Linked DNA regions of Xenopus tropicalis. The protein of the gene in region 3 interacts with the protein of the main gene of each other region in a pairwise test. Links are inferred from orthologs where the notes say so. Each region holds a gene or a part of one and is shown on either strand. Other genes may lie near its edges.

Region 1 (5,660 bases), about 3.1 Mb from region 3:
TAAGCTGAAAACATATTCTGCCTATAACAGCATTTGTATTTTTTATTTACAAAGCACTACTAGATAATTGTTTTGACACTTACTATATCCTGCTCCCTCTCCCTATAATCAGCTAAGTTAGTTTAACCTGAGAGAATGAGCTCTGTATAAACTAAGGATGCACCAGATCTATAAATGCTGGATTTGGCCATTACCGAATCTCCACATAAGATTTGGCAGAATAACTGAGCCCTTATTTACATGTTCAATATTAAGAAAAGCATTTTTAAAAAATTGCATCAATTACAAAAACCAACAAAAGTGCTGCATTCACATGGTTTGGATTCCATTCGGCCAAACACTTAGGTTTGTTTAGGATTCAACCCTTTTTGTTGTGTCTGTTTTGGCTTACAGATAAGAGGAATACCATTAGGCTACTGTGAAGGAAACCACTATGCTCCGAACCGCCCCATGGTCTAAAGGAGAAGGAAAGGTAAAGTCACTGGGGGGTGCCAAAATGTTAGGTACCCCCCAGTGATTGTAACTGCTTACCTGATACCCCAGGCTGGTGCTCCTGTTAGAAGAAAACGACACCAGCCCAGGGTAGATGTGAGACGGTGATACTCTTCCTTCTCTAGTCTATTTTGGGAATCCCATGGCCACGCATGACAGTACAGTGAAAAAAATTGCTTTTTTGTTAAAGTTCAGCTTTTCACTCTACTGCCCGTGCGCTTATGACAAACATACTTTTTGCAGATTGTTTTAAAAGAGACATACAGGATAAAAAGTAAGCAATTATGAATAATATATGGTGCTGGTTTCACTCTGGGCTAAAAGTAAACACTATCTTTAAAAATGGCCCATTTATTGGAGTTCTCTATAGATCTGCTAAGGTACCAGTCTGTGTTTCAAATGAGTTGTGGGAGTATCCTAACAGTCCAGTCTTGTGTGACTGCAGGACTGTGTTTGGCTAACCCCCTCCTACTGTGGTTCTGACAGGCTTCATTTCCCTATCAGGTCAGCCCGGCCCTAGTGGCTGATCTGTTCTCTTCAGTGCAGTGTGCCAAGTGCGCCGTCCCCCCTGCACAGCCTGGGAAAGGAAAAAGTAGGAAGTGGAACAGATGGGCGGGACTAGAGGGGTTTTTGAAGAAATTTTCAATAAATCAGCCAAAAATGCTACTTTTTAAAGCACATTCTTTCTATATTCAGATGAATACAATTCATTGCCACAATATTGTTTTTCACGCAATATGTCCCTTTTAATGACTGGGCAAAGAGGGAGAGTGAAGCTACACCATGTTTGGTCCTTGTAAGGTGGATAATTAGATTACTAGTGCACATAAGCAGGGGGATAAGCAGATGAGCATTATTCAGGGAGAAATTTAATTATCAGCCTAACAAGGACCAAACATTGAGTAGCTTTAATTTCCCAGTTTGCCCTGTTTAACTCAAAAAATAACAAAAACAATAGATTTTTGTGATTAAAACAATAGGCTAAAAGTATGTTCAGCACAAACCTTATTAATTGCGCTCATGTTGAACAAAGGAGCGAACTGGCCGTTTAAAAACCCATGGCCTTATGCAGAGGGTTTATCAGTGTACTATTAGAGCTGTGGTAGACGGGGAGATTAGTCGCTAATCTTTGTTGCCACGGGCGATTAATCTCCCCGCAATCGCTGGTGGGATGGCATACGCGTCACTACGATTTCCTGAAGTCACCCAAAGTTTCCTCTCAAGAGCAACTTTGGGAAATCGTAGCGACGCGTATGCCATCCCACCAGCGATTTACATTCTTGGAGGTGGGATGGCACTGTGGGGAGATTAGTTGTCCACGGCAATGAAGATTTGTCACAGGGCAACTAATCTCCCCGTCTGCCACTGCCCTTAGGGCTGTGACACACGGGGAGATTAGCCCCAAAAACTCAAGCGACTTCGGCAAATCGCGGTGCTGCATATGCCATCCCACCAGCATTTTACATTCTAGCCAGTGGGATGGCATTTCGGGGACATTAGTCTGGAAGACACACAGAGCTACTAGTAGCAGCTACTTGAAACGGCTACAGACAATGCTGATCATTTCCTGATAATTGTCTCTATGAGTGTTTTAGCAGAGGCAATTCTCAGTATTGTCTATAGCAGGGTATTTTCTTGCATTTAGTAGTTGTGACCAATAGCTGCTACTAAGTAGCTCCATGTGTCTTCAGCCTTAATCCAATATGATTCCTAGTGCTAAGCTTGCTTTTTCGTTAGTGGCCTTGTGCCGCCTCCTGCTCCCCCATCACAGGAAGTGACATGGGTAATGGGCACAATTATTACCGTAATATTTCTCAGCTATTGAGACTTTGGCCCACTTCTAAAGTCAAGCGCCTCCACTGAAAGTAATAACGAAAAGAGGTCTGCCCAGTTTTGGTTAAGAAATAACACCCAATCAGATTTTTAATACTGCTTCTTTTATCAATAAATCTTTAATTCCAGGTTCTTGACAAACAGACAGAACCACTAAATGTAAATAAAACACTGTCACTGTATGGTGTTAGTGGCACTAAGTTACTCCCACAGAGCTTTCCTTGAGTACATATGGACTGAGGGACTATCGTATGAGGCTTTATATCCCCCTATACTTATCAGGCCCAACAGCTGCAGGTAAGAATTACAGAAATGGCAGAATTATCCCTACCGAGTGCACCTGATGTAACCCAGCAGACAGACAGACAGACAGACAGACAGCCATCACCACAAACTCAGCCATTTACCTTGGCAGCTTTATCCACTTTATCCTGATTTTCCGGCTGATAGACAAACACAGAAGCAGGACGCCCCTCCGCTAGGAGAGCCGGGTATATAGTGAGCCCAGATGGTTGAGTCCAGGGAGGATCTTGGAGAGTAAATCCTCGCAGGGAGCTGTTCTCCGAGCCCATAATACTGCAGCTGTATGGAGGGATCCCTACCCTGAAGCCTGCCAGCGGTGCGTATATACCGTCCTTATGCCTAGAAAATGACTGCACCCCGGGGCCAGGCCTGTGCCTTCCGTACAGTACCGCAGCCTAAAGCATTGCAGCTCAGGGAGCCGGTATGTCTCACTCAGGGAGAAAGCCCTGGGGACGCGTTCCTTAGCAGCCACAACAGCCACCCAGGCTCCAGTGACAGACAGCTCATTCCTTCTTCCTCCTAACCCGGAAATGCTCGCTATCCGTCCCACAAGCCGCCAACCCTTCCGAGCAGCCGCTAGCAAGAGCCGGGGGAGCATGTGATTGGCTCAAACTGAGGACACGCCCTCCTGTATCTCTAGCACTGCCAGAAGCGGAAGGTAAATTCTAATGCCGGAACGGACTTTCCCTAATGTTATGGTCACATGGCTGGGAGTGGGAGGAGTGAGGCTTAGTATTGGACAGGAAAAGTCGGGTGAAGGCGCGGTTTCATTTAAACAAGTTAGTGGTGGTTTATACCCTGCAAATGGCATTTCTGGAGGATTTCAGGGCCGCAATGGCTTACCGAAACTTTGCCCCCCCCATGAACGCAAGCGCAGTACCGAAATGTGGCCACGTCCCTTGTGTGCGATATAAACGGCTAATGTTACTGTATAATAAGCAGTTCATATACAGCGTTCCACTGAGTAAAGTGCTAGTAATTCAGTCAATTCATTGGGGGGTCAACAGAGTTTGCCATAAGTTTAACCCTTTCCTGCACCTGCTCTGCGCTGTCATTGATTAATATGGAAGTTGTGTACAGTTTTGTATAAGTTACGTAAACTGTCAAAACCTGTCACTTTTTCTTACACAATATTGCCAAAATCCGTCCCTTTCTCTCTACTGTAACAGCTAGGCTGCTCATGCATGCTCTCATCCTATCCTGACTTGCCTACTGTAACCTGCTACTAACCGGCCTCCCTAACGCCCATCTTTCCCCCTACAGTCTGTATTAAATACTGCTGCCTGAATTCTCCTCCTCTCCAGGAGAGTTCAGGCCCTTCCCCTGCTAAAGGCCTTATCGTGGCTTCCTATTAAACAAAGAATATCTTACAAACTCCTCTTAACCTTCAAAGCCCTCCATTCCTCTGCTCCTCACTACATCTCTTCTCTTGTGTCTCCGTATGTTCCTGGCCGACTCCTTCGTTCCTCGCAGAGCAATTGTTTGGTTGCGCCCCCCACTACTACTGCTGTTTCCCACCTCAAACCTTTCTGCCTTGCTGCCCCTTACATTTGGAATGCCCTCCCTGATTTCCTCCGGAGAGAATCCTCCCTCAGTCTTTTTAAAACTTAACTTAAAGACTGCCTTTTGGAGCACTCACCCAGCACCTGATCTGGGAACCAGCACTTATATTGTAGTGTCACCCACTGTGACCTACAGCACTTATATTTGCCTATTTGTGTCTGTAAGTTATCCTCCCATATAGATTGTAAGCTCTACGGGGCTGGGACCTCCATCCTCTTGTGTCTTTGACTTATTGCAACTGTATTTATGTTGTATCTATCTGTATTTATTGTTTTACTTTTTATTTATCTATTATTATCTTAATAACCCGGTTTGTATTAATGTATTTTACTGTACAGCGCTGCGTACATAAGTAGCGCTTTATAAATAAAGATATACATACATACATACATAAACTACCTAAGTTTAGGGGCCCAATAACTAGTCAGTAGTAGTTCATAAAAATAAATGTGCTAATAAGTCAGTATTTTAATTGGGGGGGGCAGTGGAGTTTATACGTAAGTTACAAAAGTGTAGGGACCCATAGGGTTAATCTGCCCCTATGGCTTTAAACCCTACAACTCCCTAGTTTATGTTACTGGGCAAATACCCATGTATCCAGTTTATAGTTTTGCATATGTGCCATATTGGTTTACAGGTTGACTCCACCCTTTGCACTCCAATATAGTGTTTAGCTGTGTCTCAGGTCCACTGAGCCTGGGATCAACAGGGCCTCAATAAAGCCATAATTTACCCTAGAGTCACCAACTACTCTAGTGAAGTCAGGGACAGGGACCCAGTGAAGGAGGACCAGTTAGTTACTCTTTTAGAGCACTTTCTAGGAAAGTGAGATAGAGAGGGAAGGAAAGCCTTTTCAGAGTGGTTATTCGCACGCGATAGCAGAGATCTATCGTGCATGACTCAACCACCCCGTGGGTTCTTGCCCTTACCCTTTTTGATAACAGGAAAATCTTTTTAATCCCAGATCAGACTGAATAAAACATGATAGGTTCTTGAATTCAAACTACATATGTTTATTTCCTTGCATGTGTCTTCCATCATAGTTTTACCTTGTGAAGGAAGCAAACTACAGCATCATATCTTATAGAGCTGTCACGGTTTCCTTAAGTAAGAATGGAAAGAGAAACACAGATAAGCAAATATCTCCTCACTCAAAACAAATGGTCTGTTTGTATTGTAAAGCAGTATAAACATTACAGACTGCTCACACAGGTTTCAATGAGAAAAATGGAAAATTGGGCCATACTTACTGTGATTTTTATTTCCTGGAGAAATTCACTTGTATCAAAGACTCCAGGAGTGCATGACTATGCCAGGGCACACGCATGCCCATTGTGAGCAGGTGCCAGAGCTCCCGCAACATGTGCATAGGCGTCACCTGTTCCCAAGTCATGCACATATTGAGTGAGCAGGGACAATGGCTTACTATGCCATTGGTAGCCCACAGTGGGGGAAATAAAATTTTAGCA
Region 2 (5,581 bases), on a different chromosome or scaffold from region 3:
GCTGGAAATTGCTCAGGTGACAAAATGTCCTTTATAGCCCTATATGCCATTGATTTAACAGAACTAGCCAAGAATTCTAGCCAATCAATGCAACAGAAAAGATTTCTTAACCTTTTTCTTACTTAACTAAACCCTAAAAATGAATATGGCTAGAAATATCATATTTTAAATCCTGAGCTTAATGCACCATTCTAAAGGTTCAGCTTCTCTATAGGAGTAATGATCCAGGCCTCGAAAGTTGTCACAAGAGCTAGCCACCTTGAATTGTGTTGGACATGTTCAGTGACACTGCACATGCTCAGTGTGCTTTGAGCAGCTGTTGTGAAGCATTGCACATGCATTGCAAATTATAATGCAGAAAAATAGTTTTGCCTGTCATATAAGATAATGCTACAGGGCTGATCAATAATTTATGATGCTAATTGTGCTGGTCTCAGAGCTGCCATGTAATGTGAATTAATTACTAATCAGCCTTGTATTGTGAATGCTATATATACAGTATTGTGAGTAAAACCCTACACTCAGGGAAGTGACAGCAGCACACAGCATGTGTTGTAATTTAGCAGAAAAGAAGATGGAGAGCTACTGAGGGCATCTTCAGAGGAACAGATCTTCACTGCTAAAGGGCTGTGGTTGCCGTAGCATGGTACATAATAATACAAAACTTAATGTGCAGCATTTCTACCCTACTTCTTTGTTAAGTTTTAGTTCTCCTTCAAGAAATGGGATAGACTTGAATACTGGACTAAATTTATTTTCATTTTTTACTGTAGTAAGAAACATGCTTTGTGCGGTTTTAAATTACTAAGCTTAGGGACCGACACACAATATACTGTATGTATAGAGTATAAATGTCACAATATAAAGCTGATTAGTAATTAATACAGATAATTACTACATAGCAGCTCAGGAACCAGTGTAGTTTGTATCAAAACTTAATAATCAGCCCTGTAGCCCCAGGCCAACTTTATTATTTGCTTGATAATTTGCAACAACCTCTAGGCTTAGCTTCTCAACAGCTGTTTAGAGCACACTGAGCATGTGAGTGTCACAGACACTTTTTAAGATGGATCAAATTCAAGTCCTGCATCAACTTCATGTTTTTAATGTGAATAAGGACTTCTTTTAAACGATACTTGCCCAGCTGATGCAGAAAAAAAGGTGTTTTGAAAGCATTTTACCTCCTAAAACTGTCATTATATGAGAGCTGCAGAGACAACCTCTCAAGTCAGAAGCCAGAGTGAAATGAAGGTGGGAGTGTCGCTTCAGTCTCCCACAGGAAGTGTTCACAGCACTGACAGACAGGCTTTACTCAACAGTAGCAGGGAAAACCCATCCCAGTTTTCTCCTTCTGTGTCTCTCTGCTCCCTGGCTGCATAGTTTTGCTTGTGCTGCTGCCAGATCAGTAAGCTAGTTATTGATCAATAAGCATAGTTGTAAAATGTAAAAAAGTATAATAGTAAAATGTTCCTTTGTTAGTGGAATGGTATTTTTCAAAGCAAATGTGCACGATTCACAAATGAACGTGCCCAAGTGGACCTAACAATCTATAGTCCATAAAACATTGTTACACACTATGCAACTCCCTGCATCTATTATTAAATTATAAAAGATATACAAACAGTGCACATTAGTGTGTACTGTTATAGAAAAAAAAAGCAGTCTTTGTTTTTCTGCACATTGATACATGAGTACAGGGAGTTGCAGGTAAAACAAATCTGCAGTTGTTCTGGAACAGTATATGACCAGGTGCAGGGAGTTGCAGGTAAAACAAAGCTGCAGTTGTTGTTCTGGAACAGTATATGACCAGGTGCAGGTAAAACAAAGCTGCAGTTGTTGTTCTGGAACAGTATATGACCAGGTGCAGGGAGTTGCAGGGAATACATAGCTGCAGCTGTTGTTCTGCAACAGTATATGATCAGGTGCAGGGAATACAAAGCTGCAGCTGTTCTGGAACAGTATATGAACAGATGCAGGAAGTTGCAGAGAAAAAAGGTCACAGCTGTTATTCTGGAAATGCTTTTTTATTGCATGGACCTTCTACAAATTGTAAATTACCCCCACAAAATATTAAATGTTTTTAGTAGATTGTTTTTTTTTTCAATCATATTTGTTGTTGTTTTACCTTTTTCAGTTAACAGCAAGGCACAGAGTGAGAGGAACAATCAAAGCTGATTGGAGGAAGGTGAAGAACGATCTGAGAGACAGATGGAAACTATCAGGGTGGGTGGGACTGATCTGAGCATAGAGAGGGAGGCAGAGGGAACTGATCACTGGATCATAAGCGCTGTTGAGATGCTGAAACTTTAGACTGGTGCAGTAAGTCGAGTATATAAAATATGGCATGTTTAGCTTCCTCCGGGACCCCCCCTCCCCACCACACGTGCAAAGCACAAAAACCCAATGCAGGTGGGGAGCACCGAGAAATCCACTGTTGGGGTAAGAGATCCTGGACTAAGAGTAGGCGATAGAGGTACCTGCCTATTGCCCCCCAGGCAAGTGCCTCTTCTGCCTGTCCCTAATGGGACTTATTTTTGGGGTCCTGACCTTTGTGAAAATGTTCATGTTATCAGAATATTACCAACTGAATGTTTAAACAGCATACCTGACATCTGCAACAAGAACAGTATTAGAATGATAAAAAGTTTTTCTTTATACCAGCAACTGTACAATGTGGATCATTAGTGTAGTACATTATGTCATGAAGGAAATTTAACACATCAACAAAAAAAGGTTAAAGTCAATGGCCGTCGCTTTTCTAAACCTAAAGTAAAAGACTGGGCTGCAAAGTTTTATTTCAATACATACAATGGCTTTAGCTCTGCTAATTGCACAATAGCAATAAAGTGCCGAATTCCGGGAAAGTACGCAGCTTCCCTATTCACTGGGTATACACAACAGATAATGGCAATATGTATATAAAGCAATATGCTGAGAGCAGCCCCTTGGCACTACAGTATCTGCCTTTAGCCCCCACCTAGCGAAGCGTAAGGAAAATAGAGCAATACAATATTGTAAATGAGGATCGGATATGTTAGTTGGCAGTTACGGAGCAGTCATATTATACAAAGTAGGGTGCTGTAGTTCAACTGAACCTCATCCCATAGCGGAACCTCACGTTACCTCACATCTCCCCTTCCAGAAACACTTTAGAATAGTTTTTATAACGTTCCCACGCCCCCACTAATAAGTAGACAATTACTCTCTAAAGCTTCAATACCTTTAAGTTAACAGCCGGTAACTCCATATCCGTGACTCCTTTTGCCTTCCCTAAACTTCAGAAATTGCCTGCCCGACTGTACGCGCATCACGTGATGCCTCTTCCTAGCGGCTTTGCTCAACTAAGTCAGCGGGGTCACATGGGATTGTGAGCTGTCATGTGATATTGCAGCAATTGTTGGTTACACCGGTTTCATAATTGTGTTCTAGTTGAATAAATTGCCGGAGATATATATTTTTTGGCCACACATAAGCACGCGTGAAATTGAAACTCCATCCCCATGCGTGAAGTTAATATGAAAAAATGGTACCAAGTTCTTGGCTTTATTAAGGGTCTAAGAATCACAGTTCCTGTTTCCTACATGTACCTGACTTCAAGCAGAGTGGTGGTATAGGGTGTAATGTAAAACTCCTCAGTAGGGTAACCAGATCACTTGAGGGACGTGTCTAAAAAATCCAGGTAACAGGCTAACCTGATTGCAGTTTAGTTTAAATGCGAACAGTAATGTCCTGCAACGTGTATTTATTATATGTCCCTGAATATACAAGTGATCTGCTCAGAGGGTTTAATGCAATCCCTTCATAGCATTGGTGCCATGTTGTACAAACTGGCTGTGCTTCACATTGTTTGGGTGTGTGACAATCGTTTCAGTCATTAGGATTGCAACCTGGAAACTTTTTACTCCACCACCACACTAGAAAACTGGGCTGCTAGGATGGGTTTATTTCAAGAGACATATATCAAAATTATGAATGTACCAGTGAATTATACTCCTTTTAAATATATAAGGATTGTGCTTAAAAAAAGTTAGTGTTTCGGACTGACTTATTGAGAAATTCCGCCAAAACCCCACTAGTCCTGCCTGCTTGTTCCACTTCCTGCTGGCTGAATTCATACCTCCCAACATCTGAAAAATAAAAAGAGGGACAAAAAGATTTGGTGCGCGCAGCGTGGCAATTTTTGACCACGCCCACTTTTGTGGCCACGCCCCATTAAAAAATACTCCTTTAATATAGTTGAAATGGCGGGATCAGACGCAAATGTGCTATACCCTCATACTGTACTACCTAAGGAAAACAATATAGCAACTCCTACATATAAAATACAAATAAAGAGAGGAGGCAGTCAGTTATAAGTGAGTTATAACTATGTACCAGTTTTACCCCCCATACACAATGCCCCCAATGGCCCAATAGACAGTACCCCAATTGCCCCCATAGAAAGTACCCCCCCATACACAATTCCCCCATAGACTGTACCCCCCATACACAATGCCCCCATAGTAAGTGCTCCCATACACAGTAGCCCCCATAGGCACTCCAGCTTATTCTGCTGCTCTGCTCCTTATATGGCAGCGACAGGCCCTTTTATAAGGTTGCGCAACCTTATAAGGGACGCAACCTTATAAAAGGGCCTGTCGCCGCCGTACAAGGAGCGGCATAAGAAGCCGGAGCAGCAGAAGTAGCTGGAGCGCCCGGTTCCAGCCAGCGCATCCCGCTGTGCTGGATAGTTCAATGAATTTCCCGCACTTCCGTAATCTATTCGGATGGGCTGAAATAAAGCTGCTACAAAAAGAACGCAAACTCGCTCAGTCACGATGTCACAAGATGGCACAGATTACAATGAGACATGTAACAGTGCCTGGGACAAGCAAATGAGAAACAGCTGCTCGCAGGTTAGAACAGTTTGCACGAGCCCCACTACCCCAAGGCTCCCCAAATGGCAGGTTCCCCACAATACCCATGCCACCACCGAGCACAGAGACCACAGAGGCCTCACTCACGCCAAATGTGCATACAATACCAAACCAACCAACGCACCCTTCTGAGCCCACACTAACAGAGGTGCTCAATACCATAACAGGCAATCACGCGGTACTAATAAACAGAATTGAAGAACTAAAAACTGAATTTACAATTCTAAAACATGATGTGCAAAAAGTCAGGGAGCGAAGAGGAGAGGCTGAGCGGAGAATAGGAGAGCTGGAGGACAACGTGAATCCTCTACCTGGGTGCATTACAAACTCTGAGGAACAAATACAAGCACTAGAAGCAAAGGCCAACAATCTTGAGTACCGGCTGAGGCGTATATTAGGCATTCCAGAAAGAGCTGAAAGGACAACACCGGAAAAGTTTGTGGAACAATGGCTCACCAATACCTTTGGACAGCCTTCTCTGCAGGATTCACAGTAGAACAGGCAAACAGAATTCCTGGCAGACCACCTCCCCAGGGTGCCCCACTGATTGCACGACTACTTAACTACCGAGACAGGGATGCAGCGCTGGCTGAAGCAAGGAAAGCGGGAGATATTACCTTCGAAAACCAAAAAGTTTCGGTCTACCCCAACTTCTCAACCGAAGT
Region 3 (5,701 bases):
GAGGATGACATGTATCATCATGTTAAAAAAGCAAGTTTACCTATTATTGAATGCTATTGAGTTGAAGCTGCTAATTTTGCCCGGGCATGTTTAGGGTCATCTGCTGGAGAAACAGGCAGGAAATAAATGTTTTTAGACTTTGCTTTCATCCACACTACTGTATACAGTATATATACATACACAATAAACGCACCTAAGAACCCAATAACATACCTCCCAACATTTTGAATACGGAAAGAGGGACAAAAACAAATGGTGTGCGCAGCGTGGCAATTTTTTTGACCACACCCCCTAAATACCACTCCAATTTGACTAAATTTGGCAGGTTATTTAAAGTTTGAACACATTTCTGGGGGTTGTGGGGTCCTGTTTTATGTGTTATTACAGTTTTGCTAAAAAAAAAAAAAAAAAAAAGGTGAAGTTGCCCTTTAAGCTGCAAGTCTCAGTTCCCCTAAGAGACCATTTTAGCTTATTAGTTACAATTGTATCTCAGCGCAGGTGTGGCTTTTTACCTTTCTGGGCTCTCTGCCAAAAGCCCACTTGTTTAATTAAATGTGAGAAACAATGTATCTAAGTGCAGGTGAAGCTTGTTTAGCTTTCTGGGCTCTCTGCCAAAAGCTACTTTTAATTAAATTTTTATCTTTTTTAGCTTCAGTGCAGGAGATCAAGGGAAATGAGGGACTTTTCAGTAAGAATCCAGGACTGTGGGTTGAGCTGTCAAAAGAGGGACTGTCCTGCGAAAATCGGGACAGTTGGGAGGTATGCAATAACCTTTGGGACAATAGAATTTACAGCCAGGGCCGTATCCACTCTAAAGCTGGCCATACACGCACCGATAATATCTTACGAAACCTCGTGTATGGCAAGTCGGTGAGTCAACCGATATCGCAGGATGCTGCTGATATTGGTCGACTCACCAATCGGGTGGGTTAAAAGATTTTGATCGGGCACCACAGAAGGCGCCTGAGCAAAATCTGTCTTCAGGGCTGAATTGGCAGAAGGAGGTGGAAGGAGGCAGCAGCTTCCAGGGGGTGGCAGTACACATGGTATCTTTTTCTTCTTCTTTTTTTTGTGAGTGTGGACCCCGCTGGCTTTAGACTACCCCGCTGGCACCCCTACCTGCAAATATATGGGTTGAAATCAGTGGCACAAGGGCACTTAAACCCTTTAGCACCCCGTTGCTTATTCAAATAGATAGAACTGCAAGGATATCCACATTGATGCCACTTTAAATCATTAGTTACTTATTCATCAGACCAAATAAGAAGCTATTACCCCTTTGGTGGCAATGTTCCTGCCCAGAACCGTTTCGAACCAGGCTGGCACAAATGTAGTTTATGTAGGGCATCTCTGACAATGAATGTGAACTTTTAAATCCGTGGCCCAAGGTCATTTATTTCTTTAAAACCCAGTTACTTACTCACTGACTGAACAAGAAACCAACTTCAACGCTGTAATAAATAGAGCATTAGCTAATCACATATTCACACCAGCCAAAGCTCTGTACTTCAACTGTGAAGAGCGTTTTTTATTGGTCAGCCAGAGCAGCTGAGTGATTCGGGAAGAAAGAATGATTTGCCCTTCTGAAGCTGATAAGGAAGTAATGTTTCTGTGCTGCACAAGGGCAGGCTGGTGGGAGGAGTATTACAGGAGAGAAGGAAGTGGCGAGTACTGTTTGTGGGATCACAAAGGAGAAAGTTTCTGAAGTGCATGTTAGCAACTACATGGCTGTTTATTAGCATTTGCACTAAGGCTGTACTGTTTTTATGCAGACAAATTAAAACCATAACATGAGCCAAAGACAGCAGCAGCTACGTCACAACCATGTGACTGTTATAGGCCTTTCTGCTACGGCTCCAGCCCCACCCCCAGCCCCACCCCCACTCACGCCCACTCCAGGAATTCTTCCGGTGCATGTGGAACCCTCCAGCGGTCCCTGACCAGTTCCTCCGCCTGCCTGAAGAAAGGTACTGTACTCATACAATTTCTACACAACTTTTCTACAATTTCTATAATAGGTTTGGGGGTTTTGTTGCACACTCGCTGCACACTGGCATGCACACACAACTTGGGCAAGTGCACACACAGTTTGAACATTTTGTGAGTGTTGTTTTGCCCTAAAATTGTTTTATTACCCAGTGTGACTAAATCATCACAATGATCACTTACAAATGACAGTGCAGAGCACAAGGTCAGGAGCTGTTTCTGTGTATAAATAAATGCATACTGTATTATTTTGCATTGTGCAGAAGGTGTAGTTTTCCTGTATGTTTGGTTTGTGTTTGTTAACTTACTGGTTACTTGGCTTTTACAATAACATGAAATGTAGAGTATGTGTTGTGTTTGCACTGGCCAAGGTTTCAACCATGAAAAATTGTATGCACTGTCAGTTTTAGGGTCTTTACGTGCCTCATGGTTCAGTAATCCTATGCATATTGGCTATTCAGTTATTTAGAAGACCCTTGGAAATGTATTTTGATTTATCTTTGTACCCAAGAACCAGTAGGAGAAGGTACTGTAAATTGAAAAAAGTTGAAAAAAAAAAACTAATAAACTAATAGCATTAGCAGTTTGGGAGTAGAAAGCTATATTTATCTGTTTTAAGTTCTCCATAAAGTGAAGTTTTCATAAATAAATGATCTTCTGGAGTTAATCTAGTGATTAGGATTAGGGGTGCGTAAGAGATTGCCACTTGCGTAAGAAGCACTTTTCCCCAGGGGAAAGCTATATTCTGCTCCTTGTGCCAGATCAAAATCTGGCGCAAGAAGCAGAGCACAAAGGTACTTATCACCTGGCATAGAGCAGTCTGAATGATGCACAGGTTAGGGGGTAGGATGCCTAATCAGCCTGCATCTAATAATAAATACAATTACATTGAATACACAAATCAATGTGGTTCTTAGTTATAACTATTATACAACCCGGATTCCAAAAAAGTTGGGACACTAAACAAATTGTGAATAAAAACTGAACGCAATGATGTGGAGGTGCCAACTGCTAATATTTTATTCAGAATAGAACATAAATCACGGTACAAAAGTTTCAACTGAGAAAATGTACCATTTTGAGGGAAAAATATGTTGATTCAGAATTTCATGGTGTCAACAAATCCCAAAAAAGTTGGGACAAGTAGCAATAAGAGGCTGGAAAAAGTAAATTTGAGCATAACGAAGAGCTGGAAGACCAAATAACACTAATTAGGTCAATTGGCAACATGATTGGGTATAAAAAGAGCTTCTCAGAGTGGCAGTGTCTCTCAGAAGCCAAGATGGGTAGAGGATCACCAATTCCCACAATGTTGTGCAGAAAGATAGTGGAGCAATATCAGAAAGGTGTTACCCAGCGAAAAATTGCAAAGATTTTGCATCTATCATCATCAACTGTGCATAACATCATCCGAAGATTCAGAGAATCTGGAACAATCTCTGTGCGTAAGGGTCAAGGCCGTAAAACCATACTGGATGCCCGTGATCTCCGGGCCCTTAAACGACACTGCACCACAAACAGGAATGCTACTTTAAAGGAAATCACAGAATGGGCTCAGGAATACTTCCAGAAACCATTGTCAGTGAACACAATCCACCGTGCCATCCGCCGTTGCCAGCTGAAACTCTACAGTGCAAAGAAGAAGCCATTTCTAAGCAAGATCCACAAGCTCAGGCGTTTTCACTGGGCCAGGGATCATTTAAAATGGAGTGTGGCAAAATGGAAGACTGTTCTGTGGTCAGACGAGTCACGATTCGAAGTTCTTTTTGGAAATCTGGGACGCCATGTCATCCGGACCAAAGAGGACAAGGACAACCCAAGTTGTTATCAACGCTCAGTTCAGAAGCCTGCATCTGTGATGGTATGGGGTTGCATGAGTGCGTGTGGCATGGGCAGCTTGCATGTCTGGAAAGGCAGCATCAATGCAGAAAAATATATTCAGGTTCTAGAACAACATATGCTCCCATCCAGACGTCATCTCTTTCAGGGATGACCCTGCATTTTTCAACAAGATAATGCCAGACCACATTCTGCATCAAACACAACATCATGGCTGCGTAGGAGAAGGATCTGGGTACTGAAATGGCCAGTCTGCAGTCCAGATCTTTCACCTATAGAGAACATTTGGCGCGTCATAAAGAGGAAGGTGCGACAAAGAAGGCACAAGACGATTGAACAGTTAGAGGCCTGTATTAGACAAGAATGGGAGAGCATTCCTATTCCTAAACTTGAGAAACTGGTCTCCTCGGTCCCCAGACGTCTGTTGAGTGTTGTAAGAAGAAGGGGAGATGCCACACAGTGGTGAAAATGGCCTTGTCCCAACTTTTTTGAGATTTGTTGACACCATGAAATTCTGAATCAACATATTTTTCCCTTAAAATGGTACATTTTCTCAGTTTAAACTTTTGTTCCGTGATTTATGTTCTATTCTGAATAAAATATTAGAAGTTGGCACCTCCACATCATTGCATTCAGTTTTTATTCACAATTTGTTTAGTGTCCCAACTTTTTTGGAATCCGTGTTGTATGTCTGGTGCTGTTGATATATGAACAAGTCCAATCAGATGAAGCACCAAAATATTTGGTAGCGGTGTACATAATGATATGTAACAATCATGTACAGTTAGTAATGAGAGTCCTGTTTGCACATGACATAGATGCAGGCCAATGACCTTTTAATTTAGTGAGGAATGTCCAAAATAGTTCCCATATAGGGGCACCCTATTGTGATCTTTTCTTATCCCATACTATGAAGTAAATCTGATTCAGAGCTTAAAGCCAAAGGGAAGACATTCTTTGTTTTCGTACACCTCAGCAAGTGCTACAGCCATATTTTGTGAAAGGGGAACTTATAAGATTGCATTCCCTGAGCTTTACTTGTAAAGGTGGCCTTCAAACCAATTGGGCAGCTTATCTGCCCCTGTATGGGGACCGCCGACGGGCCTACCCAACCAACATCTGGCTTAAACCTGGCTAGATCTCAGTCGGACAGGATTAATTTTTCCATTGCATCAGGGACAACGTCAGCTCATTGATGCAGTCCGTGAGCCGATGGCACCTATACCCGCTGTTTTAATTCAATTGAGAGCTAAACTATTGAATTAGCCTGATATTGGCCACCTTAGATGGGCAGATTGGGAGAAGATCTGCTGGTTTGGTAAAGTCGCCAAATAAGCAGGTCGCAAAATGTATGGCCACCTTTAGTCACTGAGGGCATGCCGAGATACTGATTCCTTTGCTGGCTATCAAACATATGAGCAGGGACTGCTGCAGCCTGGTCCATTCTTCCTATGACATTAGAAATAACTTAATCACCTCCTTCCTACCAGTACTCAGCCTGCCTACTACCAGCAGTGTATGCTGTCTTTAATATTCACATAAACTAAGGAGTGGGCATTAATGGGCAGGTCTGTGGTGCCAGTATAAATCAGAGCTGCTATGGTAAATTTCTAAATATTGTTTTGTCATTCATTCACGTAGATGGCCCAACGCCTGTTCTTGAAGCGAGTTGTTGTTCCGTCTGTGAAAAGCCTAATCGCTCCAGCACCCTCTCTCTCCACTTGCCTCTCAAATGGCATACGATCACATGGACTCAAGACCCTGACCTCCTCTAGACTACATCCCCACTGTAACTTGAGGCCCATCTCCACCTCTACTCCATGCAGAGTTACATTCAACGTCCAGGATGCAGATGACTTTCAAGAGCGTGTTGTTG

Evidence for each region. The genes of interacting proteins can lie anywhere in the genome.
Region 1: the proteins of txn2 (region 3) and scyl3 interact in binary tests that used the Homo sapiens proteins (3 or more experiments, as listed by UniProt). The two-hybrid records come from large-scale screens. The link is inferred for Xenopus tropicalis from reciprocal best matches to the Homo sapiens genes TXN2 and SCYL3.
Region 2: the proteins of txn2 (region 3) and agtrap interact in binary tests that used the Homo sapiens proteins (3 or more experiments, as listed by UniProt). The two-hybrid records come from large-scale screens. The link is inferred for Xenopus tropicalis from reciprocal best matches to the Homo sapiens genes TXN2 and AGTRAP.

Annotation. Positions count from the first base shown.
Region 1 is NC_030680.2:118,610,762-118,616,421, reverse strand, and holds the start of scyl3 (protein-associating with the carboxyl-terminal domain of ezrin), read right to left. Parts: upstream 3,286-5,660; 5' UTR 2,898-3,285; coding exon 2,733-2,897; intron 1-2,732. UniProt on the Homo sapiens protein: May play a role in regulating cell adhesion/migration complexes in migrating cells.
Region 2 is NC_030683.2:65,680,459-65,686,039, reverse strand, and holds the start of agtrap (type-1 angiotensin II receptor-associated protein-like), read right to left. Parts: upstream 3,286-5,581; 5' UTR 3,248-3,285; coding exon 3,221-3,247; intron 1-3,220. UniProt on the Homo sapiens protein: Appears to be a negative regulator of type-1 angiotensin II receptor-mediated signaling by regulating receptor internalization as well as mechanism of receptor desensitization such as phosphorylation.
Region 3 is NC_030680.2:115,531,505-115,537,205, reverse strand, and holds the start of txn2 (thioredoxin, mitochondrial), read left to right. Parts: upstream 1-1,904; 5' UTR 1,905-1,967; intron 1,968-5,464; exon of another isoform or gene 5,465-5,466; coding exon 5,467-5,701.